Macaca fascicularis: one gene and its partner. Each later gene encodes a partner of the first gene's protein in a complex. Links are inferred from orthologs where the notes say so. Each region holds a gene or a part of one and is shown in the gene's direction. Other genes may lie near its edges. The genes, in order: CTSK and CST3.

Region 1 (16,039 bases):
ACATGTTCAACAACCGTCAGCACAGCAACCTGGCCAGCCTGAGGTCTTCCAGGTAAGAGAGTAAAAAGACTTTCGAGCCGGGCGCGGTGGCTCAAGCCTGTAATCCCAGCACTTTGGGAGGCCGAGACGGGCGGATCACGAGGTCAGGAGATCGAGATCATCCTGGCTAACACGGTGAAACCCCGTCTCTACTAAAAAAAAAAAAAATACAAAAAACTAGCCGGGCGAGGTGGCAGGCACCTGTAGTCCCAGCTACTCGGGAGGCTGAGGCAGGAGAATGGCGTGAATCCGGGAGGCGGAGCTTGCAGTGAGCTGAGATCCGGCCACTGCACTCCAGCCTGGGCAACAGAGTGAGACTCCGTCTCAACAGCAACAAAAAAAAAGACTTTCGAAAATTAGAAGCTGGGAGAGAAAGGGTCAGGGAGGAGGAGAGACAGTGAAGGAAGCATGCCTGGATTTAGGTGTTTAGTTGGAAGTATATGTGAGAAGACAGAGAGGGATAAATGAAGGGATCACTGTCAGTTATTGAATATATTGCGGAAGCTAGAGGCAGTAGTGCTTGTGTCTATAATGTCAGCCCCTTAGAAGGCTGAAGCAGGGGATCATTTGAGGCCATGAGTTCAAAGCCAGGCTGAGCAACTAGCCTGATCCTGTCCCTGTCAAACAAACAAACAAAGAGTATGAATTGAGTGTAATGCATACCATTTAACCAGAACAGACAAATTTAGCACTATAGGAAGATGCCAAAGAAAGTTACTTTAGCTCATTCAAATAGCTCCACATACCCAAGTCATAGTAGCTTTGGGTTTAAAAGAGACAGAATGATTAAAAATAAAAAGTAGTGCTCACTTCAGCAGCATATATACTAAAATTGGAATGAATATAGAGAAGATTAGCACGGCCTCTGTGCAAGGATGACACACAAATTCATGAAGTGTTCCCTTTAAAAAATTATAAAAAGTAAATGAAATAGAACATACTGATTATAGCCATAATGGTCTATTCACACAATTCCTGAGGGACTGCAAGAGTGAATGGAGTAATCTTAGGCAGGACAAAGGAAGAGCTGGTTTAAAGCAAAGATTGAAAGAAAGCAAAACAGGTCTTGGTGGAAAACAAATAAGATAAGAGACTCCATATATGTCTATAGGGGGTTATATGAAATACAGCAAGCAGATTTTTCTCCCTTTGAAAATATTGGGAACTAGGAAAAGGAAAAAGGTGGAACTCTAGGAAGAAGACAGAAGGGACTAGGAAAAAAGGCTGCGATCTAAAGGAGTCAAAGTTGTTGGAAGTAAGGAAGGCTAAGAGAGCACAGCAAAGACTCGGGGTCAGGGATGGTAGTGCAGGGGAATGGTGGAGTAGAACTTGGTAAGTTTAAGAGATCAGGGTGTGTGACCCAAACTTAATCTTTTTCTTTTATCAGGAGATGCTGTCCATGCTGGGAGATCAGAGCAACAGCTACAACAATGAAGAATTCCCTGATCTAACTATGTTTCCCCCCTTTTCAGAATAGAACTATTGGGGTGAGGATAAGGGGTGGGGGAGAAAAAATCACTGTTTGTTTTTAAAAAGCAAATCTTTCTGTAAACAGAATAAAAGTTCCTCTCCCTTCCCTTCCCTCACCCCCGACGTGTACCCCCTTTCCCTTCTGGCTGTTCCCCTGCTCTGATGCCTCTCTAAGGTAACATTTATAGAAGAAATGGAATGAATCTCCAAGGCTTTTAGGACTCTCTGAAAATTTGAGGCTGGGTGAAGTTAAAACACCTTTCCTTATGTCTCCTGACCTGAAATTGTATAGTGTTGATTTGTGCTAAGATCAAGGGGCAGGTTAGAAGAACCTGACATCCACTGTTTGCCTTGGATAGTATGGCTTGTTTTTGGAAAGAAATTCTGAAGAGAGTGGAGGAGAGGAGAAATGTCCTCATATTTGAGGACCATGAAACGTGGTAGGTATATATGGGGCTTTAGCAAGTGAGCATAGGCTTTTTTTGCTGCCTGTGAGCAATCCCTCTGGAAAGAAATGTAAGTGAGAGAGTGTGTATGTGTGTGTATGTGTATGTGTGTGTGCGCACGTGCTTCTGTATTTCACTCTTTCTCCCTATTAGGGAGTTATGCAAAATTTGTCTCAGATTTTATCTTTGTCTTTCTGTGTACTTTTCAAAGAGTCCTAAGGAGTTAAATCTTCCAGGTATTTTCCACTTAGTATTGCAGCCAAAGAATATTTAAATAAATGTCTTTGCTGCGCTCACATCCATGCCCAGCCAATATACAACTGTAAAGCAAATATAGAAAGTCAGCTGTTGATACGGTTGTCTGTTATCGAACACATTCAGTGATAAAGCTGGGTTACTCCTGCTTTTGGTGCTCTCACCTTATCTGGAAGATCTGCAAACATTACCTAAATAGACTGGCAAGATAAACACTTTCTGAAACCCAAGACTTGGCCATAAAGATAATGCTGCATTTTTCTGTCAGAATCACATATGATGTGTGTTCTGTAGAGGTTATTTCTGCATGGAAACTCAACTTCTTGGATTAGCCGTCCCAGTGAAAATCCTCACTGTTGGAGTGTAAACCAAATACGAAGCCCTCTTGCAAAGTAGCCTCTTTCATCCCGTACTCAAAATACCCAGTTTAGCAAGAAACTGAGATTTAAGTCTTTCGGGCCCTAAGAGGTTTTTCATCTTTGCTCCCTCCAATCTTGAGATTGGGTTTTGCTTTAGTGCAAGTATAATAATTCCGTATGATAGTTGGGGCCTGGACACCCATCTCAACAGGGTCACTTGGTAATTAACAATAGCCATATAAATGCGGATACAGGTTACTACCCTCACCGTTTACCTTCCTCAGGTAATAGTCGAAGATACCAGCTTTTTTTTTTTTAAATTGGCTTTGGCCAGTAGCTAAAGTGCAAGACTGAATTAATGAGAAGATATATTAAATGTAGTCATAGGGGACTGAGGAGCAAGGATGGCCTTGAAGAGGCCAAAGTAATGTCCATTTGCTGGGTTTCCCTTCCTTTTGTCTCCAGTCCGGTGCCAGGTAGTGGAGTAAAAAAGGAGACAGTTTATTTTTTTATTCTATGTGCACACTTACAGTATACATATATATTTATATCACAATTTATGAAACCAAAAAGTTGAGTTTCCAATGGAACCCTTGTTTTTTAATAATCGACTGTTTTTAAATGTGATCAGGACTATAATGTTGTACAGTTATTATAGGGCTTTTGGGGAAGGGGAGGATAGCGAGAAGATGCTCTGGGGGTTTTGTTTTTGCTTTTCCTTCAGGGTTTTATTTTTGATTGTTTTGTTTTCTTGTTGGCCATTTCTGTATTGCTGGCATCTGTGCTAAGCCTTACAGTGGCAAAAATAATGACATGTAGCAAAGATTTTGAAACAAAATATTTTTTTCCTTTTGTAAAATTTATTGTGTTGTGTGATCTTGATTGCGGCTTTATCATTCCTTTCCAGTTCATAAACAACAGGCACCCACAACTAGAGGAATCTATAGTTTAAGCTCCAGACATACAAACATAAGGCACATTGTGTCTTTAATTTCAGGAATCAGAAATCATAGGGTTCTGATCACACTGCACGCCTCCCCCTCACTTGTCCTCCTGATCCTGACACATTCTGAGTAACATCAGCAGGAATGCTCTGATCATAAGGTGGGGATTTTGGGGTGGGCACTGCCTGGGTTCTTGGGAGAGAGGGAAAGAGTTGGGACTTGAAAACCACCAGGGCACATCTGGATGCCTTCCCCCAGTATGTCCTCTTCTGGATTAAAATGAGTGAAATTTAAACTGTTTAAGTCTGGACCTGGTTTCCCTCTAGGAGACTATGTTGGTTCATTAGCAACATATATATATATATATATATGTTTTTTTTTTTTTTTTTTAATGAGAGAGAGAATCTCACTGTGTCACCCAGGCTGGAGTACAGTGGCATTATCTTGGCTCACTGCAACCTCTGCCCCTTGGGTTCAAGCAATTATTCTGCCTCAGCTTCCCAAGTAGCTGGGACTACAGATGTGTGCCACCATGCCCAGCTAATTTTTGTATTATTTTTAGTAGAGATGGGGTTTCACTATATGTTGGCCAGGCTAGTCTCGAACTCCTGACCTCAGGTGATCCACCTGCTTTGGCCTTTCAAAGGCTTGGGATTACAGGCGTGAACCACCGCACCTAGCCCATTAGCAGCTCTTAAAATCCAGAGGCATAAGCCTGTACTCTTGAGGGTTTATGCATTGAATCCAGCTAGAAACTGAGTCTATTACAGATCCCATTTATTATCCTTTCTATTCCAAGAAGCCTTTTTTCCTCCTTCCCCACATCTGTTTATGGAAGAAAATGAAGTTTGGGGTGTGGTTTGAGGACTCAGCGAGATTCTTATGATCTGTCACATGCCTGGATGTTGGGGAAGCATTTGGAGAAGCTCATGTGACTTGTCCTAGATTGGGGATTTTAATTGAGACAGATGATGTTTATCGGGCATCCCACCACCTGAGGGTTTTAGCAACAGAGTCACATGGGAGTCCATCAGAACTTATGGCACTGATTCAAGTGCTGTCATAGATAACCAGGACTGCTGTTTTTGGTTACTTTTAAAGACAGTTTCATCTGGACTTTCTGGGTATATCCTTCAGCAAAACCACATTAGGCTGGGAAAGCTATTCTCCTTCCTGGAAGTAATGACAACTTGCAACCAACAAGCTTACAAAAATACAAAGAATTCTGGAGCGTATGGCTTCCATTACATTATTCTTTTATAGCCTTTTATGTTCATTCCCGCATCCCAGAGGTGAGGGTCAGACACAAATTTGAAAATAGGTTTCAATGTTGGAGAGGTAAATCATAACAGGAAAGGGGTAGGAAAAGATGTAATCCCCCAGTGTTATAATAAAGATATTGAAGAAGAAGGATGGGAGAGACTAGGGCTGTGTCCTTCCTTTTACTCACCAAAAGAGAAGGTAAGCTCCTATTTGAGTCAATAGATACTGAGGTCTTGTTATTTGCCACCAAAGACAGTCTTGTGAGATTAAATACCTAGCAACTCCCTACCCTGGCACACATGCTGCACACACACACGAACACTACAAATCCACTGACTCCTTCCCTCCTCCCTACCCTTCCTTCTCTCAGCATTTCTATCCCCGCCTCCTCCTCTTACCCAAATTTTCCAGCCGACCACTGGAGCTGACTTCCGCAATCCTGATGGAATAAATCTGGCACCCCTGATGGTCTGCCCACACTTCGCTGCCGAAACGAAGCCTGACAACAGTTCCATCAGCAGGTAACATTTGCAACTTCCTAGATCTTTTAGCTTTTCATTCCTGTCAGTTCTCTAAGAGTATTAGGGATGTAGTGACTTGAGAATCACAATGAACTTTTAGCCTTTGCAGATGAAAACTGAGATGCACTTCTTAGATCATTCCCTGGCTAAATAAAATCTGCCTGGAAGTCTGTAGAATTCCTTGTATGATTTATATATATATATACATGGTTGTAAGTAAAAGCAAAGTATGTAGGGAATCATTTGCCTATCCTTCAAGGGTGGCCTTTCTGCAGTGTTTTCTACTTTGGCCAACAAGGATCAAAAGGGTTAACTCCCTAGTGAGGAGGAGGAGGAGAGTGGTATGGGGAGGTGGTAGCTCAGTGCTTCCTGTTTGCTGAAACATCTCAAAGCCCTTAACACTCTAACTTTTAAGTGTCCTACTGGACATTTTGCCAGTTTGAAAAAATTACATGTAAATGGACTATAAGCAATTGTGTAAGCCATATGACATGCTGCAAGCTGCAAATTGTTCTTAAAATGGAGGAGTTGTAATTAAGCAAGCCAATGCAAGAAATGAGTGAAGCTAGCTAAACTTATGAAAAGCTGTGAATTTAATAATCATAGAACATTGCTTTTCAGTCTGAACATTCTTCTAACAAACCTTGGATCTGAGGCTCCTTGTCCTGTGCGGCAGCCACAGTGGTTTTTTGTTGTTAGGGGAAAAATAAAAAACCTTGCCCGCAGCATCTGGTTAAGATTAGGGCAGTTTCCTGCCTAAGGAGGGAGGGGAGAGCAAAAGGAGGAAGAAATGCATAAGGAGAATGAGGAGATAGAAAATGTCTCAGAAAACAGGAAACATTGTCATATTTTCCCTTGTCCTCTTCTGACAAGATCTGGGAAAGTACCAGAATTTAGGCAAGAAAGAGAAAAATGCCTCGAAGAAATGATCAGGAAGCAAAACTTAGATGGAAATCTCTCCTTTGTGTATTCTGAACCCCACTACCACCTTGCTCTTTATCTGTCTCCAAGCCTGCTGAGGACCCTGGAGGAAACAGGCACTGAGCCCATTCTGATTGTCCAGTTTCTATCCTATTTCTGGTTGTGTAAGTGTGTGTTTTTGTGTGAGAGAGAGCGAGAGACAGAGAGTGTGTGTGTGTTGGTTAAATCTCCCGAGAGAGAGAGAAATGGCTACATCTGCCTAGATCAAAACTTGGAACCAGATGTACCAGCACCCTATCTAAACACAGGTCCCTCCTGACTATCATTGATTTATCACCCTTTCTCTGTCTACCTTCCTCTTCCTCATAAAGCCTAGTTTTCCTTGGTTTCCCTGCCAAATGGAAGAGTTTTCCCTAATTACATTCTTCTGCAGGATGTGGGGGCTCAAGGTTCTGCTGCTACCTGTGATGAGCTTTGCTCTGTACCCTGAGGAGATACTGGACACCCACTGGGAGTTATGGAAGAAGACCCACAGGAAGCAATACAACAGCAAGGTGCCTGGGGTCCTGAAGGGGGCATGGCAGGAGGGCTGAGACTTGAGCTCTCCCATCTTAGCTGCAGACTCCCTTCTTCAATCCAAATGCTTTATTCCTAGCAAATCAGTCCCTCTTTCCTAACTCACGTTAACATACGGTTTTCATTCCTATGCTTCAAATCATCCTCTGTCAAATTGTATCCTACCTTTGCTTTATAAGTGTGTTACATTTCTCTTTTGGGAAGATTTCTAAGATTAATGCTATTCATCTATAAGCATTTTTTCTGTCTCTCCAGAGCTTTGTGTTGTATTTCTTTACGTATTATCTCTTCTTGCAGGCCTTAATAATTCCATGGTTAGTTCCCCAACTAAACTGTAAAGTTTTATGATTGTGAGTTTCCTTTATTCTCCTAAAACCCTTCACAATATGACATATGTAACTGTACACGGTCTATACAAGTACTGACTATGCTTTGTTTAGGTGGATGAAATCTCTCGGCGTTTAATTTGGGAAAAAAACCTGAAGTATATTTCCATCCATAACCTTGAGGCTTCTCTTGGTGTCCATACATATGAACTGGCTATGAACCATTTGGGGGACATGGTAAGTACAGCCTCAGCTCCTGTCCCACCTGCACCGTTTGCTTTAGTTCCCTGCTGATGCCTGGCCTCTTTCTTCTTTGTCTCAGACCAATGAAGAGGTGGTTCAGAAGATGACTGGACTCAAAGTACCCGCCTCTCATTCCCGCAGTAATGACACCCTTTATATCCCAGACTGGGAAGGTAGAGCCCCAGACTCTGTCGACTATCGAAAGAAAGGATATGTTACTCCTGTCAAAAATCAGGTACTCTCCTTTCTTCTGGGTGTGCATATGTAATCTGGCATGACCTTTTCCTTTTTCTGCTGCTTTGTTCTTGAGGTGAAAGGGCACCAGGAAGAGAGGGCAAGGGATTAAGGTACATCTCCCCATTCCGTTATTTAACCTCATTTGTTTCTGTACATTTGGGTTGTTTCTGGTTTTTCTTTTTCCTTTCCTTTTTTTTTTTTTTGAGATAGAGTGTCACTCTGTCGCCCAGGGTGGAGTGCAGTGGTGCAATCTTGGCTCACTGCAACCTACACCTCCCGGTTTCAAGCGATTCTCCTGCCTCAGCCTCCCGAGTAGCTGAGGTTACAGCACGCACCACTACGCCTGGCTAATTTTTCTGTTTTTATAGAGATGGGATTTCACCTTGTTGGCCAGGCTGGTCTTGAACTCCTGACCTCAGGTGATCCACCTGCCTTGGCCTCCCAAAGTGCTGGGATTACAGTCGTGAGCCACCGCGGCCTGGTTTTTCTTTATTACAAATAGTGTTGCAGTAAGCACCCTTGTGCATATATTTTTGTGCACATGTACAAATATTTATGCAAAACAAGTCCTAAAATTGGAATTGCTGGGTCACAGTCCTTTCCCCCCGCAAAAAATTATTATTATTGTTATTTTTTTTTTTGAGACAGAGTCTCTGTCACCCAGGCTGGAGTCCAGTGGCGCAATCATGGCTCACTGCAGCCTCAACCTCTCAGGTTCAAGTGATTCTCCAACCTCAGCCTCTGTAGTAACTGGGACTACAGGCACATGCCACCACACCCATCTAATTTTTAAAAAATTTTTTGTAGAGACAGGGTTTTGCCATGCTGCCTAGGCTGGTCTCAAATTCCTGGGCTCAAGCAATCTGCCTGCCTCGGCCTCCCAAAGTGCTAGGATTACAGACATGAGCCACAATACCCAGCCCCAAAAAGTTTTTGCAATCTTACATTCTTACTAGCATGAGAATGTCAGTTTTTTCACAACCCAAACAACACAGGATTGTATCAGCAAGATAAACAATTGATTTAACGTTCATATAACAAACACTTTTTGACCCCCAGAACCAACCAGGTGCAGTGTTAGGCAGCAGAGATTCAAGATGACTAAGACACAACCTGTGTCCTCAGGAAATCTCAATCTAAAAAAACAGAATAGGAAAGAAAGAAAAACCTACAATCTAGCTGCATGAACAATAATAGCTAATACTTCTTGAGATTTTATTGTGTGTCAGGAACTTCTTAGCTCTTTACATGACTTAAATATTTTAATCTTCATAACAATATTTTATACATAGAGAAACTGAGACACAGGCAAGTTTAGTAACTTACCCAGGGTCACATAGCGACTGGGTGGCAAAGTCAGGGTTAGAACCCAGGACAACTGCCTCCAAAGCTGGTACTGTGCACTGCTTTACTGTAGCTAATAGTAAAAATGGTAGCAAAAATCAATAGCAGTAGAACAATGCATCAGATGTTAAGGGGAAGAGAAAGACTCACAACAAAGACAACATTTGTGCTGAAATTTTTAGAACACATGGAATTTCTTCAGGCAGGTAGAGAGAAGATATAGAAAATATAAACAGCAAAGATTGATAGTTTCTCTGTATGCCTCTCAGGGTCAGTGTGGTTCCTGTTGGGCTTTTAGCTCTGTGGGTGCCCTGGAGGGCCAACTCAAGAAGAAAACTGGCAAACTCTTAAATCTGAGTCCCCAGAACCTAGTGGATTGTGTGTCTGAGAATGATGGCTGCGGAGGGGGCTACATGACCAATGCCTTCCAATATGTGCAGAAGAACCGGGGTATTGACTCTGAAGATGCCTACCCATATGTGGGACAGGTGAGATTGCTCCACACAATTATACAGCTCTGTCGGCTCCTCCTTCCCCAGCATGATATTTTGTACTAGAAACAATTCCAGAAATACTGTTTTCTGTTACCCTACCCTGCTTTCTTGATGGAATAATTTCCCACAGAAGACTAAGAAGATTTCCACAATCTGGGGGAACTTAGGGAGCTTAAGCTACTATAGTTCCTATTTGCCTCTCTGCCATGGAGAGAAAATAGAGGCTAGGCCACCTACCCCATAGACTTCTGAGCAGGGTTCTATAACCCTTTGCTCAATTCCTCACTCCCACAACAAACCCACAAACCCACCATGCCATTGTGTGGCTTTATTTTATATGATCTCAGTGTGAGTTTTCAGAACATTTAAGGAAGTTATGTAAGTTTACATGCTAACATGTAAAAAATGAGAGAAAAAACAAGTTGCTTCATATTAGAGATAAGGGATTAATTCAGTTCCTCCTGCATGATCCTCTAGTCATAGGAAGGAAATCGTATCTGAAAGGGAGGCAACCTGAGGGTCTTTTTATACACATAGGGCTGGGACTGATAGATAATATAATGTGGGGCCTTCACAACAGAAACCTCTGAAATAGGCATAGCAAGTTTGAGAATAAAAATGATGGCTACTGTGTTCTAAGCCATGTCCTTAGTGCATTTTTTCTTTTTCTTTTTTTCATTTAATCTCATAACAACTCTGTAAGGTAGACTTATCTTCAATGTATATGTGAGGAAATGGACACTTAAGGAGATAAGACACTGTAATTCATACCAGTAGTATGTAGCAAAGGTAAGATGTATCTACTAGGGATGTTTATCTTTAGCAAACATTCCTAGGTATGTCTCCCATACACATGTGCAAGAATTTCTTACTAGGATATAATGACTTGGAACTGAATTGTCTGGGTCTTAGGGTATATCTATTTTCAACTTTACTACATAATGTCAAATTGTTTGCCAAAATATTTGGAAAAATTTATACCTGCAATGTATAAGAAATCCCATTGAATCACCTTTTTATCAGTGTGTTTATCTGGCCATTTGCATTTCTTCTTCAATGAATTAACTGTTTTTATCTTTTGCTCATTTGTTTTTCTTTTTATTTATTTGAAACAGGGTCTTACTGTGTTGCCCAGGCTGGAGTGTGGTGGTACAGTCATAGTTCACTGCAGCCTCCACTTCCTGGGCTCAAGCAATCCTGTCACCTCGATCTCCCAAATAGCTAGGATATAGGTGTATGCCGTCATGCCCACCAATTTCAAAAATCGTTGAATTTTTTTTTGTTGTTGAGGCTAGGCATGGTGGCTCATGCCTGTAATCCCAGCATTTTGGGAGGCTGAGGCGGGAGGATCACTTAAGCCCAGGAGTTCCAGATCAGCCTGGTACAACATAGCAAGACTTCATCTCTACAGAAAATCTTTTTAAAAGCAGCCAGGTATGGGCCGGGCGCGGTGGCTCAAGCCTGTAATCCCAGCACTTTGGGAGGCCGAGATGGGCGGATCACAAGGTCAGGAGATCGAGACCATCCTGGCTAACCCGGTGAAACCCCGTCTCTACTAAAAAATACAAAAAACTAGCCAGGCGAGGTGGTGGGCGCCTGTAGTCCCAGCTACTCAGGAGGCTGAGGCAGGAGAATGGCGTGAACCCGGGAGGCGGAGCTTGCAGTGAGCTGAGATCCGGCCGCTGTACTCCAGCCTGGGCGACAGAGCGAGACTCCGTCTCAAAAAAAAAAAAAAAAAAAAGTAGCCAGGTATGATGGCGTGCACCTGTAGTCCTAGCTACTCAGGAGGCTGGTTGGGAGGACAACTTGAGCCTGGGAGTTCAAGGCTGCTGTGAGCTATGATCATGTCACTGCTCTCTAGCCTGGGTGACAGAGTGAGACCCTGTCCCGAAAAACAATAAAAATTTTTTTTGATAGAGACATTGTCTCACTACGTTGTCAAGGCTGGTCTCAAACTCCTAGGCTCAAGCAATCCTCCCACCTCCCAAAGTGCTGGGATTACATATGTGAGCCACCATGCCTGGCCTACCTCTTTTTTTTTTTTTTTTGAAATGGAGTTTTGCTTTTGTTGCCTAGGTTTGAGTGCAGTGATGCGATCTTGGCTCCCTGCAACCTCCATCTCCTGGGTTCAAGCGATTCTCCTGCTTCAGCCTCCTGAGTAGCTGGGATTATAGGCACCCACTACCATGCCGAGCTAGTTTTTGTATTTTTAGTAGAGACAGGGTTTCACCATGTTGACCAGGCTGGTCTTGAACTCCTGACCTCAGGTGATCCACCCGCCTCGGCCTCCCAAAGTGCTGGGATTACAGGTGTGAGCCACCGTACCCCACCTCTTACCCATTTTTAATTGGGTTGTTTTTTCTCTTTCTTAGCAATTCTTAAAAGTTTAAAAAGACTATTTGGATACCAGTACTATGTATTTAAAAGTTGAGGTTTGTCTTTTCATTCTCTTTATGTCTTTCAATCTAGAAAAGTTAATTTTAATATAGTAAAATGATTAATTTTCCTTTGCAATTTTTGCAATGTGTTTTATTCATTTATGAATGGAGAAAGGTAAGAAAAAACAAAATTTAAAAAAGAAGAGATCTGGCCAGGTATGGTGGCTCACACCTATAATCCCAGTACTTTGGGAGACTGAGGCAGGCAGAGCACTTGAGGTCAGGAGTTTGCGACCAGCAGGGATAGCATGGTGAAACCCCATCTCTACTAAAAATACAAAAATTAGCCAGGTGTGATGGCATACACCTGTAATCCCAGCTACTCGGCAGGCTAAGGCAGGAGAATTGCTCGAACCCAGGAGGCAGAGGTTGCAGTGAGCCAAGATCATGCCATTGCACGCCAGCCTGGATGACAGAGACTCTGTCTCAAAAAATAAAAAGATAAAAAAGAAGAGATCTGATAGGGCAGCAGCCAGATAACATTTTAAAGGGATGGTATTATAAGTTTGTTCCAGCTATAATGCAGGTTATTCTGACTTTAAAGTATCATCACATAACATCTTTTTTTTTTTTTTTTTTTTTTGAGACGGAGTCTCACGCTGTTGCCCAGGCTGGAGTGCAGTGGCGTGATCTCGGCTCACTGCAAGCTCCGCCTCCCGGGTTCCCGCCATTCTCCTGCCTCAGCCTCCTGAGTAGCTGGGACTACAGGCGCCCGCCACCGCGCCCGGCTAATTTTTTGTATTTTTAGTAGAGACGGGGTTTCACTGTGGTCTCGATCTCCTGACCTTGTGATCCGCCCGCCTCGGCCTCCCAAAGTGCTGGGATTACAGGCGTGAGCCACCGCGCCCGGCCCATAACATCTTTTTGAGTCAGTTTCCAAGATATTCTGTTTCACTTGTAATTCTGTGTAGTTTTTGGCACCAGGAGGCATCAGGGATTTGGAGCACATGGCAGAAACAAAGGCATATTGAAAAATATCAAGGCAGTAGACCACTGTAATCTTAAAATAGCACAGCAAATGCTATTGCTGTTAATATTTAGATAATGTTAGATAACGTATTTTTTTAGAGGATATTTCACTATCTTACACAGGCTGGAGTGGAGTGGCTATTCACAGCATGATCATAGTACACTAAAGCCTCAAACTCCTGAGCACAAACAATCCTCCTGCCTCAGCCTCCTGAGTAGTAGATAGTATATTCTTGTGGATGCAACCTTAGGGTTCTGAAGGGGTAGTCTGTAGGAAAATGAATTGCTGAAAAGAATACACCACCTTGACATGGGCTATTATTCGATTCCATAATTGTGGCTTCCCAATGAAATATTGCTAACTACCTGTAAAATATAGTGTTGGAAGTCATAGGCTAAATTGCTAAGTTCTTTAATCTATTTTAGCGTCATGTTATGTACTTTCATATTTCGTCTTTGATGAGAGCACAAGGATCACACCAGTTCCCCTGATATAGGTGCAGAGGGCCCAGGTCTTCCCTCTAGCTAAACCTTGACCTTGGCCTCCTGTCCACACAGAAGCTGGTGCCTTCCTGCCCCCTGAGGCTAATACATACTATGTGGCCAGAAGATGGTTTATGCTTTTAAAAAAAATCTTATTTCAGAAATCTTTCCCTACTGTTTTACAGGTTTTCCTCCCACATTTATGTCTTAAAACACCTGTAGTTGATTTTTTTTTTTTTTTTTTTTTTGAGCTGGAGTCTCGCTCTCACCCAGGCTGGAGTGCAGTGGCACGATCTTGGCTCACTGCAAGCTCTGCCTCCCAGGTTCACGCCATTTTCCTGCCTCAGCCTCCCGAGTAGCTGGGATTACAGGCACCCACTACCGTGCCTGGCTAGTTTTTTTGTATTTTTTTTAGTAGAGACGGGATTTCACCGTGTTAGCCAGGATGGTCTCGATCTCCTGACCTCGTGATCCACCCGCCTCGACCTCCCAAGGTGCTGGGATTACAGGCGTGAGCCACCGCGCCCGGCCTGTAGTTGATTTTTATGTGTGGTGGAAGGCGGGAATCCTCTTTTCATATTCTTTTTTGTGAGGAAGAACAGACCCTCTCTAGAAACCCTAGACTGCTGCATCACTCAAAATATTGGTTGAGTTTCTCACTCACTGACTCATTGCCTATTGCTTTGTCCTACTTCTATTACAATCTTGTTTCTTCCAGGAGGAGAGCTGTATGTACAACCCAACAGGCAAGGCAGCTAAATGCAGAGGGTACAGAGAGATCCCCGAGGGGAATGAGAAAGCCCTGAAGAGGGCAGTGGCCCGAGTGGGACCTGTCTCTGTGGCCATTGATGCAAGCCTGACCTCCTTCCAGTTTTACAGCAAAGGTAAGAAGCTGCTGATCCTATAGATCACTGTCTTTTATGATACAAGCTTGATGGCTTCTCGAAGGACCTTGGGTATTTTCAGTACTAGTTTTTGTATTCAGATGGAGGCAGCCAGAGAGAAATTAATTGCTGCAGTACGGAGCAGCATCTCTGTGGTAAACCCTCCTGACAGGGATGGAATTCTACAGAGAGTCTCCTGGACTGGGAGATCCCACAGGGTGACCCTTGGATTGCATAGAGCCTCACACTGATAGTTTGTATTCTAGGTGTGTATTATGATGAAAGCTGCAATAGCGATAATCTGAACCATGCGGTTTTGGCAGTGGGATATGGAATCCAGAAGGGAAACAAGCACTGGATAATTAAAAACAGGTAATGATGGGAACACTACTTTTGTTATTCAATCACCCTTTTAACACTCAACCTCACCTCTAGCTTCCCGATATTCCTTTCTCTGTCCCAAATCAAGAAAAAATTATCTCAGGCTTCTCACTTCTATCTTCTCAGTCAGAGGCTCTTAATTCTGAGTCCAACACTTAATGGCCAGTGTGTTAGTCCATTTTGCATTACTACAAAAGAATACCCGAGACTGGGTAATTTATAAAGAAACGAGGTTTGTTTAGCTATACGAAGCATGGCACTAGTATCCGCTCAGCTTCTGATGAGGCCTTGGAGCTTTTTCTCATGGCAGAAGGCAAAAGGGGGAGCAAGCATGTCACATAGTGAGAGAGGGAGCAAGAGAGAGAGGGAGGTGCCAACTCTTTAAAGAACCAGCTCTTGCATGAACTAATAGAGTGAGAACTCACTTATCACCAAGGCGATAGCACCAAGCCATTCATGAGGAATCCACTCCCATAACCCAGACACCTCCCACTACACCCCACCTCCTACATTGGGGATCACATTTCAGCATGAAACTGGGAGGGGACACACATCTAAACCATATCCGCCAGACAATAGTGCTCAATTATGTGCTGGGCACATACTCCCTGTGTGCAAGATGCTTAGTGACATACACAAACCAATGAGCAGGTGACACCTTCAGTGAGCTCAGAGCCCAGTAAGATAGACGTAACTAACCATGAGATAAAGCAGTACAGAGAATCAGCAGGAGCTTTGAAATTACATATTTTTACTTTCTTTTGTCTCTAATATGATCAGTTTCTTAGGGTGGTTTCCATTAGCAGTCTGTCTTTAACAACAGGGCAACAGCGTAAAGGTTTAATACTCCTTTGAACAGTTTTTTCCCTTCAAGATACACTTAGGATACACGTATATAAGAACTTGCCAAAGATTGTGAAGAGAAACATTTTTTAGAAATAAGATATAAACAAAAAAAGTTGGTGTTTACTTTCCTGTGTTGGGGAACAAAGAAAACTCCAGGGTACCTTGTTTTCCATTTCTCTTTAGCACCTTGTGACTTTTGGGGAGGGGCAGATTGATAAGAATTATAGTTTTCCTTTCCTGGCTGATCACCATTAACCTGGCAGCAGCACTGGCTAAATCTGCTGTCCTTAGTGCCCTCCAAGGAACAGGAGCCCTAGACTCTGGGGAGCTCACAGACTCACGCAGTGGTGTTGTTCAAACCTGAAGCAACTTTTTATATCACAGTTCCAACTCAAGATGAACCTGAGCATCTTCCCAAGTCTCCCACAGCTTCTGTCCTGTGTTGTCCCTTCTCTTGACTCCCAGCTCTAAGCACTTACCCTGTTCTTTCATGATCAGGTGCCATGTGTGGAGATACTTCCAAGAGAGCTGGGAGGAAGAAAGGACATACCCGGGCAGGATCAGGAACACTGGGGGCCCCTAGAGAAGGGGAGAGTGGGG
Region 2 (16,570 bases), on another chromosome or scaffold:
ATTGCATCAAGTCCGCCCAGGTCATCTAGGATAATCTCCCTTCCTTAAACTCTACTGACTGTTAACTTTAATCACTTCTGCAAACGACTTTCACAAGACTTATATTAGTGTTTGGTTGAAAACCTGGGGACTATAGTCTACCCAAGAGGACAAATAAAACTGACCATCTCTTTTTGCGACTTTTCTGTAAGTTGGAAATCTTTCAAAACACAGCCTTAGGGCCAGGCATGGCGGCTAATACCTATAATCCCAGCTCTTTGAGAGGCTGAAACAGGTGAATTGCTTGAGCCCAGGAGTTTGAGACCAGCTTGGGCAACATGGCAAAACCTCGTCTCTACAAAAAAAAATACAAAATCAGCTGGATATGGTGGTGTGCACTTGTAGTCCCAGCTACTCAGGAGGCTGAGGTGGGAGGATCACTTGAGCTCTGGAGGTAGAGATGGCAGTGAGCCAAGATGGTGCCACTGCGCTCCAGCCTGGGTGACAGAGTGAGATCCTATCTCAAAAAGTAAAGGCAAAAAATGCAGTCTCAAACACTCTACTACTACATTCCTTTCTCAAGTGCCAGTAAGCGAAGGACACTGCAGTAGAGGAGTCTGAGGAATCCTAACCGCCCATTCCTTGCTGTTTCAGAATTCTGTCCCTGTGGTTACTATAGCTGCAATTTAGGGAACAGAATTGTTTTTCTTTACCAGCTTTTATGACCCAGTGCCATGCCTCAGGCACCTGACACAGTGCTTCTCAAACTTGCCTATGAATCACTTTGGGTCTTGTTCTCCAAGAAGGAAAACAATATAAATCAAAAATTCGATCTACATGAAGAAAACGAGAGCATTAGAGAAGGAATAAATGAAAGTAAAACAAAAATTTTCATTTTCATTATGTATTTTATTTTTCTTTCACTCCTGCAAGTTAACTTGAACCAGGTTAATGCATTAGACATATATGTTAGCATGATACATTCATTCTCTTCCCCCAGATAAAACTACTCTATGCTTTAATTTTATACTGTTTTCTTTGGCCCATATTCCAGCCTTCCCAAATAGCTATTTTCCACTTACTTCCTCTTTATCTTGAAAATCACCACGAGTGCTTCATGCACAGACATGTGGCCACAACTGCTCTAGTTACAAGCGTGCAGGTGTTACACTGTGTGGCCAAGGATGTTTGGGCCCACTTAGGGACCCCCACAGGCAAGGAGTCATGGTCTAGGAGGGGACTCAGGCTAACACTCATTCTTCTTTTCATAAAATCTTTCTTCTTGAATAAATTAGACATAAATTAACCATTACCTGCCTGATATTGGACGTTTCTGGTGCTACTTCCACTGGCTCTATGTTTCCTTGTTTTGAGGTTGACCTTTATAAAAAGAGTGAAGGAGGTGAGGAAGAGAACCACAGATCTGCAGGCATAGGAATCGGTTTGTGCAAAGACCCTGAGGCAGGAGTATGCTTCGTACCTTCCAGGAGCAGCAAGAAGAGCAGTAAGACAGGAGGTCAGAATATGGCAGGCAGATCATGAGGGCTTTGTGAACCCATTGGGAGGTCTTTGGCTTTTACTCTGAGTGAGATTGAAACCATTAGAACTTCACCATTCAGCACAGCAGCCACAGGCCTCATGTGGCTTAAACTTAAGCTAATGAATATTCAATGAAACCACAAATGTGCCAGCCACATCTCAGTGCTCAAGAGCCACATGTGGCCTGAGAATTTTGAACAGAAGAGTAGTGTGATTCGATTGAGGTTGTAAAAGGAGCCCTGGGCTTCAGAGGTGAGCATGGGCTGCTGGGGCTACCCGTCAGATGCTGCCTACAGCTGGCAGTGGTCTGGCCCAGTGGTGCCCATGAAAGTAAAGGCAGTGAACAGATCATCTAGATGTGTTTTGAAGGTGGAACCGGCAACATTCCCTGATAAATCAGAGAAGAAAAGTTGGTGAAGGGGGACTCCAGGTTTTAGCTTGAGCAACCAGAAAGGTGGAGCAGCCCTTACTGAGCAGGAGAGGCTGGGAGTGAGGGAGGTGGAGGGGTAGGCCCCACATGCAGCTGAAGGCCTGGGTGGCCTGGAGTGTCTGGAGCCATCCAGGAGAAGGGCACTGAGATGGACTTGGAGGTTCATCAGGAGTTCATGCTGGAGACATCCATGCTGGAGACATGCGTGCAGCGTTGGGGTTAAAGCCCCCGATGTGCCTCAGGAGACCCCTGGGGTTGGAGCTGTGGCACTGGTGTCTGCACCTTTTAGTGTCCTGTGATGACCTGCACCACGCTGTGTTGAAATATCTGTTTAGATGGCTTTCTCTTTACAGACCCAGGACTTCTTGAAAGCACAAACGTACCTTTTACCTCATTAAAGTCAGAATCTCACATGGTAGGTGTTCAATGAATATTTACTAAACTAAGTGAAAGAATGAAAAAGGTAATGCCTATTATAAAGGATCAGTAAGAACAAGATGAGTCTACCATGATGTGATTCAGACGCAAACGATGCCTAGAAAGAGCGTTGCCCTTTAGGTAGGACCACCCATGGTCTCAGGCCCAGCAATGACAACTGAGGACAGTTACACTCACCAACATTCACACCTAAGATAAAGCACAGACTGCTGCAGTTGGCCACTAGAACTGCCTCATGGCTAGTTGGACCTGACTGAGGCAGTGTATCTCTCTGAAGAGCTATTGGCAGTCTTTTTTCAAGATTCATTAAAACAACAACAACAACAACAACAACAACAACTTTGTAGCCCCCGACTCAAAAATTTCACTTCTGGGAAGAAAACAACCTATGCACCAAGATTTTTTTTTCTGTAAGAGTGTGTATCACAATATTATTCATACTAGAAAAAAAATTGAAATAGCCTAACAGTCTACCATTAGCAAAAAATTAACACCTAAACTATGGGATACTCAGAATAGGAAATGAAACAAAACTTTCAAAGACAATTTAACAATATGAAAAATGTTCATGACATAATGAAGTTTTTAAAAAGCAACATGAAATTATAACCACCACATGATCTCATTTTGGTGAAAATGCACACATGCACACGTGCACACACACAGGCACATGCACAGAAGCATGTGCACACAAACTCACATGCACACATGTGTACACACACAGGCACATGCACAGAAGCATAAGCACACGAACTCACATGCACACATGTAATTTATTTTTCTTACACTTTTATTCATTTTCTTATTCATTTTTGTAATGAGCATGTATAAATTTGATTCTAAAAATACAAGAACTTTTATTTTCAAATATGGAGAAGAGTTGGAGAAATCTGTTCGTTATCTTCGAAAACTGGGTTTACTCCATTGATGGTGACACTTTTTCCCCATTCTAGATTCTGCTTGGAGCAAAAAGTCAAAGTAACCTTAGGAGAAAGAGAGAGATGAAAGAGAAGGAGCAGGGAGAGTGGGGGTAGGGCAGGGCAGTTGGTCCAGATTAGAAAGGAGAAAGGGGAAGCAGTGGCAAAAGCTCCAAGTGCTCTAGAGCTGCCTCCTCAGCAAATGCTGTCTGAAATCCAGGGCTGCGAGTGTCAGGAGCCTCATGTGTGGCAATCGAAGACTTATGTATGAATATGCTGTCTAACATGGATATATCTCAAAAACATCATGCTGAGTGAAAAAATGGCAAGCATAAAAGTCTACATGATGTAAAAATCTGTCTGCATGCACTTCTGCAATAAACAAAACTCATCAATAGTGAATGAAGCATGGTGCAGTGGCTGTCTCAGAAATGAGGCCCCCAATTGACTGGAAAAGGGGACGAGGGAACTTTCTGGGGGGTGATCATGCTCTGTATCTGATAGAGTGTGACTTTGTCAAAATTTAGTGAATGTATGCTTCAGATATGTGCATTTCACTATAGGTAAATTTTATAACAAATGAAAAAGGTATAAATAAATGATGAGCTCGAGTTCATGATATGCATACTAACACGTGTTTAAGAGTGGAGTATACTAATGTCTGCAACCTACTACAAAATGCATTTTTAAAAAGACGGATTGAGGATGTTTAGAGGGACAGAGCAGTAGACAGGTGAGAAAAAAATTAAAGTCTAATATTAATGACAGAATCATGGCGGTGGGTAGATAGGTGTTTGCTGTAAAATTACTCTAACTTTGATGAATGTTTAAATATTTTCATAATAAACTATAGGGGGAAACACATGCCACACCCCCACAGCTCCACCTTACCCTACACCCATCCCTTTCCCATCACCCCCACTCCATCTGCACTCTTCCCATTCTTTGTTTGCTTCTAGTCCTCCAAGCCCCTTACTCTTACTTGGCAACAGGATTTTCTGGTAGGGCAGAGTTTTGGCCTCGCTGGCTTCTACTGTTAAAAAAATATTCCGTAGACACTTATTAAAATGGTAAGGGAGACTTGATTCAAGACTGTCGCAGTGGGGGTCAACACTATTGCAGTAAGAGAGAGATAGAGCTCAACCCTGAACACAACGAGAATAAGTGGGATTTACAGCCAAGGAACATGGTGTGGAGGAGTGATATTGGCATGTAGAAAGTTACTAAGCAGACATCAAGGGAAGGGAGTGCTGGCTGAACTAACTTAGCAGGATTCTGACAAGATGCAGCAGGAGGCCTGGGTCTCCAGCTCCAGCACCCAGTGAGTCAGCTTAGCAGGATCCTGGGCAGGAACAGGAATCACTCTCCCAGGTTACGGAACTCTGCTAAAGGAACGGATATTCAAAGCTGCAGAAACACTAAGAGGGAAGGGTTACAAGAAGGTGGATCTAGAAAGGAAACTGACCACTCAGAGATGCCAAAGGGATTGCTCAACCCGCTCAGAGCCATCTGTTTTCTTTCTGGCCAGGTCTCTACAGGGAGTCAGGTGGAGCCCTGGCAGCACCAGCTAGCAGCCTGTGTCCCTGGAGGCCTCTCTCTCTCCCTTCCACTCAGATGCGGTTCTTCAGTCACTGGCTCTGCTCTGGTGAATGCACTCCTTGAGAAAATAAATGTTAACCCTATAATCCAAAACGATGAGCACCGTTTACACACTGGCTCCTGAGCAGAAATGTCCCAAGGATTCTCATCCCCCCATGAAGTGCAAAACAGACCGCAGACACTGGGCTCTGCCCATTCTCATCTCTGTCTGCAAGGCTGCCAGCAGGCTTCCTGTGCGTATCAGTTTCCTAATGATGTGGCATCATCTCTATTGGAGCCAAATGCATTACCAACATTGGCCCACAGTCTAGAGGCAAGCATCCGCATGTCCTCCATTGTTGGGGAGAGAGAGGGGACAAGGAGGGAGCGTGTGTGTAAGGGACAGGCTTGACCCCAGAGAACTCCGGGCACTCCATAAAGAAGGCTCCTGGGCTTCGGCTTTGAGAAGCGACCAAATCCTGTGGCTGTTTAGTCCAAGCTCCTACTGTAGACACTGAGTGCTAATTGCTCAAAACCCAAAGTGCAGAATCTCAACTCTTGGCCAACTTGATTTAACCAGTAGCACCTTTAGGTGCTGTTTATGTGTTTGGTCATTTATTTATTATAGCATTGTTTAGTGTTGTTATTATTGCTTATTTATTACAGAGAATTTCTGCCATTTACCCAATTTCTCACTGTGCTAATTCAGATAATGGGATCAATAATCAAAAAGGCAGCCTGGGAGAACATGGTTTTCTCTTTCATCACCTGGCAGAAGAGAAACATGCCCCCTCCTTGGCAGCTGGACTCCTCCAAGTTACACGGGTGCTGGATACCCCAGGCTCAGTCCTAGGTCCATTGTTTCTCTCTGTGTCTCTGCTAGCATGTCTTTGAAGCTGTAGGCTGCTCTGTCACTTTTAATCATGTTTAAACATCATCACTGATGCCCAGGCACAACAGTTTACAAGGCAGCCCACCTCTTCAGACACATGACCACAGAGAAGGCAAAACATTTGCTCAAGGTCACCAAATATCAGGAGCAGCTGCCCAGCTACTGTAACCTTTCACTTCCTACTACAGCATACTGAACATGGCTCCTGCGGCTCCTGAGAGCACCCTACACTGGTGTCTGTCCTACAAGGGTTAGAGAGGTCGCTGCATCAGGCCAGCTGACTCTCCCTGCAGCAGGTGCCTGCAGGGCACATCCTGACAGAGGATGACCACTGGCAGAGGCATCACATACAGGGAAATAGGCTAGCACTCCAGCTCCCACCTCACACCCCACCTACCACCATGCTCCTGCTATCTGGGTGACCTGCACCTCTTTTCTAATGACAAAAGACAGGGGATTTGTGTGTATTTCAGTTTACCCTCTGCACAACACATCCTCCTGAGACTCGAGCCCCAGTGGTCAGGGAAGGTGGGAGCCACAGAGAAGAACCAACTCCCATACTTGGGAGATGACCATTCTGCTCACAAGCACCTGGCCAGGGGCTGCCCTCTCTTTCCCTCTCTGGGAATCTCTCCCCACGTCCTGTCTAACTAGGAGGCATATGTGCAGCCCTGTTTGAAGACCTTCCCTCCCTCACCCAGCAGTAACCACCATCCCTGGGCCACCTGCTGTATCTGCTGGGCTGCATGGCTTTTCTAAGGGTGCTAGATTCGCAGTGGGGTGAGATGGTCAACAGACCTCAAGTAACAAGGTCCCCTGTCCTACCACTGAACGTGAGCACCCATGAGTAATATTGTTCCCACTGCCGGGTTCCTGCTGATCCAGCCCCAGCCATGGCCGAGCCCCAGGATCACAGCAGGTCTGGGCTGATCCTTGCCGACCCTCACCTCGACCACTTCCAGGAGAGTCCTCTGGGTGCCCTGCAAAGGCCCAGGGTTTCCTGGTGTTTCTGGCCAAGCTGCCACCTCGCCATAAGGACATTTGCCACAGGGTCACCTTCAGGCGTGGAGGGTGGGGTTGAGACAACAAAGGGAACAGCTGTCTGTTCAGAGCCTCCTTCCACCCTCCCCACTCCTGGAGTCACTTTCCAGCCCAGGCCCGCAGCATCCCGAGCTGGGGACTTTGTCACCCCACAGGGCACCCTGCTGATCAGGTCCTCTCAGTCTGGGGAGAAGGAGAACTCACAGTCCTGGCCATGAAACAACTCAGGGGCCTCTAGAAAGCCACGCTGAGCAAAGGAGGAAGATACACCCAGGCTCGCTCTGCAGGACTCCATTCCTGGGAAGCTCAAGGACAGGCAACAAAGGAGTCTATAGGGCCAGATGGGGTCTGCCAGTGGTGGGCATGAGGGTGAGCTGCAGAGGCAGAAGGACGCCATCTGGGGCAAGGCAGACGTCACAGGTCTGGACAAAGTGGTAACACGGGTATATGCATTAATGAAATCCCCCATATTAGACATTTTGTTGTCTGTAAGTTCTACCTCATTCACAGCGATGTTCTAAACTCAGGTGAGTTTTCCAAGCAGTGCAGAGGACCAGCGCCGGCAGTGTGATGCCCAGAGGGGAGGAGCAAGAGACACCCGTGGGCTCCCACATTCATCCCGCAGCTGCTGCTCCCTCTCCTGACACCCCCACTGCCTGCCAGGGGTCTCCTTGCACCTTCCACCCAGCCCCACCCACAGTTACCATGAGACTCCAGGTCGTTCCCTTCCCTGCTCACACCCCCTCCAGGAGCTTCCTCTTCCTGGAGCAGGCATGCCCAGTCCCACCTCAGGGCCTTTGCACTGGCCCTTCCTGCTGCCCGGGGCTCTGTTTCCCATGTAGGCAGGGCTTGTCACCGTTCCAGTCTCATAGAGACCTCCCTGACCAGGTCCAGTGGCATCACCTCTTTCTATCCCATACTTTCACTTCCAACAGAGAGACTAATTTCCTGATGTTAATTATTGATCACTATTCGCCATCCTCCCACACACCCTAATGCTGGGCTGTGCAGTGCCACAGCCACATGTGGCCACAGGGCGCTTGAAATAGGGCCAGTATAATTGACACCCACTCTAGGTGTAAAAAATACACAGGGAATTTCAAAGACTCAGTATACACACCCAAAATAAAATAACCTATGTTATTAATGATTCTTCTTATGTGTTGAAATAATATTTTGGATATATTGGGTTAAGTAAGAAATATTATAAACATTACCTTCACCTGTTTCTTTTTTACTTTTTGAAATGTGTCTCCTAGAAAGTTTTAAATTGCTCCCAGGTTTGCGTCACATCTCTGTCTGGCAGCAGCCCTGCAATGTTGTGTCCACGGCTCGGTCACCCAGGCTCCGTCTCTAGTTCCTACACCACCTGGTGCAGGGGGAAGCTGGTGACAAGTCTGTTTGTTGAATAATAAGGAATTGTGAAAGGAGAACCCAGAGTTTTTTACTCAAATAAAGGTTAATTCTTCTGTTTGAAAAGTCCCCTAGCACAGGGCATGGCCTGAGTCTTCTGCAGCCTCTGGAATCACATCTCTGCCTCAGTGATTTCTAGACCTTGACCAAATGCTCGCGGATACTCGGGACCTCCGACGACTCCGGAAGGCCAAGACCTCTATCCTTCCCTTTTCTGAGGAAATGAAGCTAGGGGGTCGCATGCTTTTAGGGCTCAGGGGGACTTGACACCTCTCTGGAAGGCAGGGTGACCTAAGCTTGGGAGGAGGGACAGGTCTATGAGATGAGATGGAGCTGAGGGGATGGAGTGGGTAGGAGGGGGGCGTGGGTGTAGAAGGGGTGGGGGAAGAGGGACCAGGAGTGGAGTTAGAAAAGGGGAAAGAAGAGGATAGGAGGGACAGAGACAGGGAGAGGCCAGGGGTGGGTAGGAAGGGAAGACAGAGGAGGGGTGGAACAAGGGAGGGGCAATAAAGAAGGGCAGAGCTTGGGGGTGAAGTGGGAGCAAGGACAAGAGTGGAGGAGGGAGAGGAGGGGCAGGGGAGGCGGTGTCTGGGGGTTGAAAGGGGAAACGGATAGAGGAGAAGGAGCCTGAAGAGGGGAAGCATGGAGGGGCCTGAAGTGGGGAGGCTGGAATGGTCTGGGATGGATGGGGAAGAATGGGGAGGATAGGAGGGGCAGGGGAGGCTGGGAGGAAGAGAGCAGGCGAAGAGGGAGAGGGGAGGGGAGGGGATGGATAGGGAGGGACAGGGAGGCTAGGGGGCAGGGGAGGAGCGGAGGGAGAGGGGAGGCGGGAAGGGAGGGGGAGGCGGGAAGGGAGGGGGAGGCGGGAAGGGAGGGGGGAGGCCGGGAGGGGCTGGGAGGGGAGGAGAGGGGATGGATGGGGAGGGAAGGGGATCGATGGGGAGGGCCAGGGAGGCCAGGATGGCAGGGGAGGCAGGGAGGGGAGGAGATTGGTAGGGAGGGACCGGGAGGCGGGGAGAGGTAGGGGAGGTGGGAAGGGAGAGGGGAAGCGGGAGGGACTAGGCGTTCCGGAAAAGGAAGCGCAGGGCGCGAGGGGCGGGGAAGGCCAGAAGGGATAAAAGCGCAGCCGCTGGCCCCGCAGTGTTCACGGCCTCGGGATCGCACTGGGTCCTCTGTCAGTAGCTCAAGCCTCTCGCCTGCGCCCCACTCTCCGTGTCCCGCGTCCTAGCCGACAATGGCAGGGCCTCTGCGCGCCCCGCTGCTCCTGCTGGCCATCCTGGCCGTGGCTCTGGCAGTGAGCCCCGCGGCCGGAGCAAGTCCCGGGAAGCCGCCGCGCCTAGTGGGCGGCCCCATGGACGCCAGCGTGGAGGAGGAGGGTGTGCGGCGTGCCCTGGACTTTGCCGTCAGCGAGTACAACAAAGCCAGCAACGACATGTACCACAGCCGCGCGCTGCAGGTGGTGCGCGCCCGCAAGCAGGTGCGTGCCGCCCCCCGCAGGGTCCCGAACCCTGGCCCCGCCGCCCCAGCCTGCCCCGCGCCGCTCCCGGACCCCCGGGGCTGCTCCTTCCCCCGGCACCTGGGCTTCTCACCCAGACCCTGTTCCCGGTCTTCGCTGTCACCCTGGAGCCCTTGGCGGGCGTGTCTGGGAATGCCCCGAGTCTTGTCTGGCTTGGAACCGCAAGGACACGCCAGGTCCGCGCCCGGCGCCTGAGATCTGCTTCCAGGCGCCAGCTCGAGCGGCGCCGCAGCGCGGGGGCAGGCACAGGACGTCCCACCCAACTCTGTCCAGGCCTCCTGGGACGCGGGGCTCCGGGTGCGCTGCTGAATACGCAGGAGAAGGAAAAAACAGAGCCCCTCATCTGGCTGCCTCCTTGTTCTTCCGCCAAATAATTTTTAAACACTTTAGTTTAACTTTTTATTCTCACATAATTTCTGACTTACAGAGCAGCTGCAGATATAGTACAGGGCATCCCTGTAGATCTTTCACCCAGATCCTTCAGATGTTAGCACGGATGTTAACATTTTGCCGTTTGTTCCCCCAGCTCACTTTCCGAATGTGAATATGGGTGTGTGTATATGTACTGTATATGCATTTTTTTGCCTGAATCTTTTGAGAGTAAACACTTCAGTGTGTTTTTCCTTAAAACAAGGGCAGTATCTCACATAACCACGATTCCATTTTGAAAATCAGCACTGACACATTCATGGTCTAATGCTCAGACTCATTCAGCTTTCCCTGACTGCTGACGGGCTTCATGCCTTAGGACGCTCCCGGGCCAGGAGTACATGAGTTCAGCCCTGTCCTGTCCCCTCTGCCTCTTTTCACCTGCAGCAGCCGCTGGGTCTGTACCATGACCGTGCCATTTCCCAGGATCCAGCAGGTGTGGGTGGAGACTGTGCTGACTCTGGGTGGGCTTGGTGCTGGTCAGGATGAGATCCAGACCATGAGGCTCGTCTTCCTCCCGGAGTCCTCTCCATAGGGGCCACACCTGAGCCTGGCTCCTTGTCCTGCAGAGCCCTGCTTCCCTTCCCAAGTCACACCCCTGGGCACAGCCCTCTAGGACTAGGGGCCTTCACCCTCAGGCCGAATGACCACCCCCTACAGCCCAGGGCAGCTGAATTCCTGCTGGGGTGGAGCATGCCTGACCCTGCTTCTACCAGCTGATGCAGAGTTAGACCTCAGCCAGATGAGGACAGCAGTCACCCAGCAGAGCGGAGTAGGGGGTCAGATCGGGGGGGGAGCTTCAGTAGGGCTACCAGGTCCAGCTTGACCTGCATCCCATGGCAGAGCAACAAACAGTGACACAGACTTTAGAGCTCCTCCACCTTCTGTTGGAAATTCAGAGGAGTCTAGACCAGCCCCGTTTCTCCTCCTGCAGCCGTCAGCTGGGGTCCTCTCCCTGTTCCCTGGTGTAGGGTCCCCGCTGGCCTGCACCCCTCTCTCACTGGGAGTGAAGCACGGGGCATTGTAGGACCCTGGAACCTATTTTACAGAGCAGCAGACTGACACCGGAGGGATCACAGGACTTGCATGTGGTTCTACAGGACTTGTGTGTGGCTCCACAGGGCAAGGTCTAGCACCCTGGTCTCAGGGTCCCTCATCCCATGCTTCTCCACAGTTCTCACAAGTCATGTCTGGGGGTGGCACTGTGCAGGGAAAGCATTCAGTTCTCTTCTGAAGTTGCAACCGTAAGACTCACTTTGGAAATACTGCCTCCAAAATCACACCTGGAATGGAGGCATGTGGGAAGCAGTTTATTGGCCTAAAACATCAATGTATGTGAGCATCTCATCTCCTATTGATAAATGAGGAAAAATACCTCTGGGTTAAATGAGAGGAATGAGATGCTCTGTGGACTGAATGCCAGGAACTGGAAGTTTGCCAAAATTTCATCATCACATGAGAGCCTTCCTAGAATAGATCCAGTGTCCCTGCCCCCTGGGTCATAGGTAGCAGAATTCAGTTAATCCTTGGCATTGGCATAGAGAAAACAAGTTACCAGGGAAGCCTGGGGCATGGCATCCCTGCCAGCTGGCAGGAGGAGGTGGCTTGTGTGCCTTGCAAGTGACAGTGTGGGTAGCTCGTGAAGGTAGGCTTGAAGCCCCAGGCAAGCCCAGTGACCCAGTCACAGTGAAGTGCCTGTGTGTGTAAGAAACTGACAGAGCGTGCTGTCCCTGCCTCCTGCTCTTTCACATGTGTAGATCGTAGCTGGGGTGAACTACTTCTTGGACGTGGAGTTGGGCCGAACCACATGTACCAAGACCCAGCCCAACTTGGACAACTGCCCCTTCCATGAACAGCCACATCTGAAGAGGGTATGTGCCTCATGTGGGTCCAGGGCCAGTCATACACTGCAGAGGGGTGTGTGTGTGTGTGTGTATGTGATGTACATGTTCTGGAGGGTATGTGTGCGTGTGCCTGAGTGTGTGTACATATGGAGATGCACATGTGTTTCCATGTATAGGTTTGTGTGGGGAGGTTATATGAGTGTGTGCTAGTGGGTGTGTGATGTTTTGGGGAGGTGTGGGGGTCTATGCACGGATGTGTGTGGGTGTGTGAGTGCGCATGCGTGTGCACATATGTGTGGGGGTTCTGTGCGCATACATGCTGTATGAGGAAGTGCCTGCACTGTGTGTGTGCATGTGGGTAGAGGTGTGAGGGAGTATGTGGATTCATGCATAGATCCGTGTGGGTGAGGGTTGGGGTGAGTTCATGTGGAGGCCTATGTGTGTGTAGATGAGGCGGTGTGGAGAGGGCTGATGAATCTGATTTGCTAAGAGGGCTTTAGCTTGGGAATGGGGGTACTGGAAGCCCCACCCTGTGTGCTTTGGAGTGTTGCCTGCTGGACTGTAGGAAGCAGCTGCAGGGCTGGGTGCTGCGCACAGAGAAGCGGCTCTGTCTAACCCCAGCCTCAGGCACGTGCCCGCAGCCACAGCCACGCTGAGCAGATTAGAGGGTACTAGAGGCCTGTTAGCAGCCAAACCCTCAGACCTGCCCCAGCTTACCCAACACCAGCTTCTCCAAGGACCCAGGATTTCTTGTGGCGTCTCTCCTCAGGGGAGAGTCACACGCTCCTTGTCCATCTCCTTACCACTCCAAGCACTATGAGTTGCAATTGCCAGTTCCCTGGTTTCTTCCCTCTGGCCCCTCTTAGTGCTGACTTGGGTGCTGGAGGTGGTAGGAGCTGGGGACAGTGAGCTGCCTTCCCCTGCTCTGCACCCTTATGGTTCCCGAGGCCTTGCACAGGCCGCTCCTCATAGGGCTGTGCTGGGGCAGGAATCCTGCAGGCTGAGGTGGTGGCCCAGTGCCACCTGGTGGAGCTGGAGCCCTGGGAGAGGGGTGGAGCAGTCACTGCCGAGTCCAGCAGTGCTCTGGGATCAGCAAGGGTGGGTGGAGGGGTAGGTAAGGGCCAGTGTTTCACCTCCATCCTTCACTCCCACTCTGATGTCCTGTGCCTGGGCACCTTCCGCTTTGAACTGTAACCCACACTGATTGTCCCCTCTGTTTTCTTTCACAGAAAGCATTCTGCTCTTTCCAGATCTACACTGTGCCTTGGCAGGGCACAATGACCTTGTCGAAATCCACCTGTCAGGATGCCTAGGAGTCTGTACCAGGCTGGCCTGTGCCTATCACCTCTTACGCACACCTCCCACCCCCTGTATTCCCACCCCTGGACTGGTGGCCCCCGTCCTCGGGAAGGTCTCCCCATGTGCCTGCGCCAGGAGACAGAAAAGGCAGCAGGCGGCCTTTGTTACTCAGCAGGGGGCTCCACCCTCCCTCCTTCCTTCTTGCTTCTCACAGCCCCTGTGCGCGGTGACACGCCCCCACCTCCTGCAATAAAACAGTAGCATCGGCTCCCTTTGAGTTCTTGGCTGTCTGGGGATGTGCACACAGGCAGGGTTTCCACAGTTCCTTTATGAAGCCGCCTCATCCTGCTGGTGTGGAGATCAGAGGAGTACCTGGGAGCTGACACAGCCACAGCAAGGCTGTCAGGGGAGCTGCTGCTATAGGAGACCTGAATCTCAGAGCAAGGAGAGAGCAGCCCGGGGCTGGGAACCCAGGCATTCAGCCACAGCGGCCCCTGGTGAGGGGTTCAGGGAGAGCAGGGTGCCCAGGCTGCTGACCCCAGAAGCTGGGCTGGCGCTTTGGTCTGAGCTCCTGGTCAGACCAGGAGGAGGGGGCTGGCTGTGTCCACAGGCAGAGGCCAGGCCTCGGTGGAGCTCGCCAGGCCGTAGGTTCCATCTGTGCTTGCAGAGTTGAGCAGACTCCAGGGACTGAGCTGCTCTCATCATTCCCCTAGACACTAAATAGATAGTGATCGATGTGTGTTTCTTTCCAAGAGACTTAGGCCCCTACATGGAAACAAAGTCCAAAAAGCCTATGTGTGTAACTGAGCGGGAGAAATGTCAACCAGGCCAGAGACCGGCAAGATCACCCAGAGAAAGCAGCACCTGCTGTCATCCATACTGGGAGGCTGTGTCCTCAGAGAGTTTTACAGGCTCATGGCCACCAGCCCTTTCTCTGGACTTGGATTTAAAACAAGTTGTGTCCAGCTTCATGGTAGGGATGAAGTTAAAGCACAAATGAGACTGACAATGCAGTGGACTCTTCTTTTTCCAAAGATTAAGAGAGAACATTCCCTTCATGTCAGCATCATCCTATAGAATAGTGGATCTTTGCCACAAGCAGGAGGCTACAGTCCTAGGACGCAGCCCACCCTGCATGGTCCTTCCCTTTGCCATTTCAGGACAGGGGTGCAGCCCTCACAGCCAGTGCTGCTAGGGCAGGGCTCCCAGGTACCTTCCAAGCTCCAAGCTGCACTGACACCCACTTTTGGCCACTGCCATGAACACTGAAGGTGAAATGACGAAAATCCACCCCAGTAGCCCCAAGGACATGCTGTCCCTGCAAAGCCAGAGCAGGGGACACGGCGGGGAGAGTGGGGAGCATCTGCTTCCATTTCCTCTCCACCCTGACTTGCTTTAACAGGGTATTTGGGGTGAGGAAAGTGTAACAATGCCTAGGAGGCCATAAGCTGAGGAGACTTGAGTCTGGTCTCACTCTGCTGGGGGTGGGTGGACTTAGTGACTCAGTTTTCTGTTGGGGATTGGGGGATAGAAGTGGTGGTTGGGGTCAGGGGTAAAGAGTCCCTGCAGGGAGGTGCTCCTGGCTTTCTACCTGGGTAAAGGATCTCCTATGACACATACAATGACCATCCAGGCACACAGTGGAAATGAACAGCTGACTGTGTAGCCCAGTCCCTTTTCTGACACACTTCTTCCCTGGGGGAGTTGAGGTGGGGTGGGGGCTGTACACAGGACTCCCCAATCTCCCTGTATGTCTCCTCCCTTCCCTGCCCTCCAGCCGTTGGCCCCATGGCCCACAGCCGACAGGGAAGCAGGTTGGTGCCACCCCTGCGTCTCCTCCACAGCCATCAGGCCTGTAAATGCCTCCCTTGGAGCCCCATGAGGCCAGTGAGCCAGAAGCCCCTCGGACCCAGAGGTTACTGTGACCAGCACATCCTGGAGAGGAGGCTTCGCCCTTGCACCTTTCATCTGCAAGAGTTACTTTTTTTTTTTTTTTTTTTTTTTGAGACGGAGTCTCGCTCTGTTGCCCAGGCTGGAGTGCAGTGGCCGGATCTCAGCTCACTGCAAGCTCCGCCTCCCGGGTTTACACCATTCTCCTGCCTCAGCCTCCCTAGTAGCTAGGACTACAGGCGCCCGCCACGGCGCCCGGCTAGTTTTTTGCATTTTTTAGTAGAGACGGGGTTTCACCGTGTTAGCCAGGATGATCTCGATCTCCTGACCTCGTGATCTGCCCGTCTCGGCCTCCCAAAGTGCTGGGATTACAGGTGTGAGCCACCGCGCCCGGCCAAGAGTTACTTTTACATTTATTTTAAAAGTTGGTTTAAGTATATACTTCACCTACAGTTATCCATATGAATAGATTCATTACAGGGCCTGGCTCTGAATAAACAGGAAGTTGGAGAGGCTTTTTCATTGATCTGGTTCTACACCGGTGGCTTTATAACATGGTGCTTTGACACCTCTTGCATTGTGATGCTGGTGAGCATCAGGGCGGGATCAGGAAGGGCCCAGTAGCTTCCGAGCTCCCTAGCATTCTTGCCCTGAAGGAAGCCAGCCTCTGCAGAAGGATCCCTATCCCCAGGACGGTCAGGCTGGCAGGGTGTTCCTCGATGGCAAGCCTGCACACGCCTGCCCTCAAAGTCCAAGGGAGCTGAGAGGCCAAAGAAAGGCTGACAAGTCTAGTTTCTTAGAAAGAAAGTTGTAACCGGGACTAGCGAGCAGAAGCCATGTCCTGCGTGGCCGCAAGACAGTGGGTCCCCATCCCGTTACCCAGACCCTGGGCTTCTGTGCCATAGGGGAAAGGGTATAGGAGCTTCAGAAGGAATTTACCTAAGGGCTGGATTTGCAGCAAACAGCAGATGAAATAGAAATCTTAGAAGCATTGATGGAACTGAGGCTCAGCATTGGCATCCAAGATGGAGTGGCCTTAGCCTCCACAAGAGACCTCCCAGAGCCGCTCCAATTGACAGCCCACAGCAAGTTTCCATAACCATAGGTCAGTTTCATGATCTCAGTCCTAAATCTGCCTTGTGCTTTTCCATTTTTTTTAATTACTCCATTTTAAATACAATATTTTTATGTCTTTTAGGTAAGAACCATTCTCCATTCTGTTTATTCTTTATTCCCCCAAAATTTTGTTTTCTGAATGTATTTGTTCCTCCAAATGAAACTGTTTTCTCAGGTTCAATAAGTAGAAATATATTTTTTTGGAAAAAAAATTGACAACGTTGAACATTTGAGTCTTTCATTTTAGAA

The links.
Region 2: the proteins of CTSK (region 1) and CST3 are in contact, whole or in part, in a crystal structure (PDB 8V57), measured with the Mus musculus proteins. The link is inferred for Macaca fascicularis from reciprocal best matches to the Homo sapiens genes CTSK and CST3. Residues at the interface, in NP_031828.2 of Mus musculus: Asn132, Gln133, Gly134, Gln135, Cys136, Gly137, Cys139, Trp140, Glu173, Asn174, Tyr175, Cys177, Gly178, Gly179, Gly180, Tyr181, Met182, Ser248, Ala251, Ser252, Gln257, Phe258, Val274, Asn275, His276, Ala277, Ser297, Trp298, Ser301, Trp302; in NP_034106.2 of Mus musculus: Pro27, Arg28, Met29, Leu30, Gly31, Ala32, Pro33, Gln75, Leu76, Val77, Ala78, Val80, Asn81, Tyr122, Pro125, Trp126, Lys127, Thr133.

Annotation. Positions count from the first base shown.
Region 1 is NC_088375.1:110,430,743-110,446,781, forward strand, and holds the start of CTSK (cathepsin K), read left to right. Parts: upstream 1-5,252; 5' UTR 5,253-5,297; intron 5,298-6,102; exon of another isoform or gene 6,103-6,334; intron 6,335-6,651; 5' UTR 6,652-6,652; coding exon 6,653-6,772; intron 6,773-7,234; coding exon 7,235-7,357; intron 7,358-7,442; coding exon 7,443-7,598; intron 7,599-9,213; coding exon 9,214-9,432; intron 9,433-14,046; coding exon 14,047-14,212; intron 14,213-14,478; coding exon 14,479-14,584; intron 14,585-16,039. Other genes in the region: ARNT (aryl hydrocarbon receptor nuclear translocator), read left to right, coding at 1-52, 1,427-1,516. UniProt on the Homo sapiens protein: Thiol protease involved in osteoclastic bone resorption and may participate partially in the disorder of bone remodeling. Displays potent endoprotease activity against fibrinogen at acid pH. May play an important role in extracellular matrix degradation.
Region 2 is NC_088384.1:63,661,750-63,678,319, forward strand, and holds CST3 (cystatin-C), read left to right. Parts: upstream 1-9,369; 5' UTR 9,370-9,461; coding exon 9,462-9,704; intron 9,705-11,929; coding exon 11,930-12,043; intron 12,044-13,245; coding exon 13,246-13,329; 3' UTR 13,330-13,583; downstream 13,584-16,570. UniProt on the Homo sapiens protein: As an inhibitor of cysteine proteinases, this protein is thought to serve an important physiological role as a local regulator of this enzyme activity.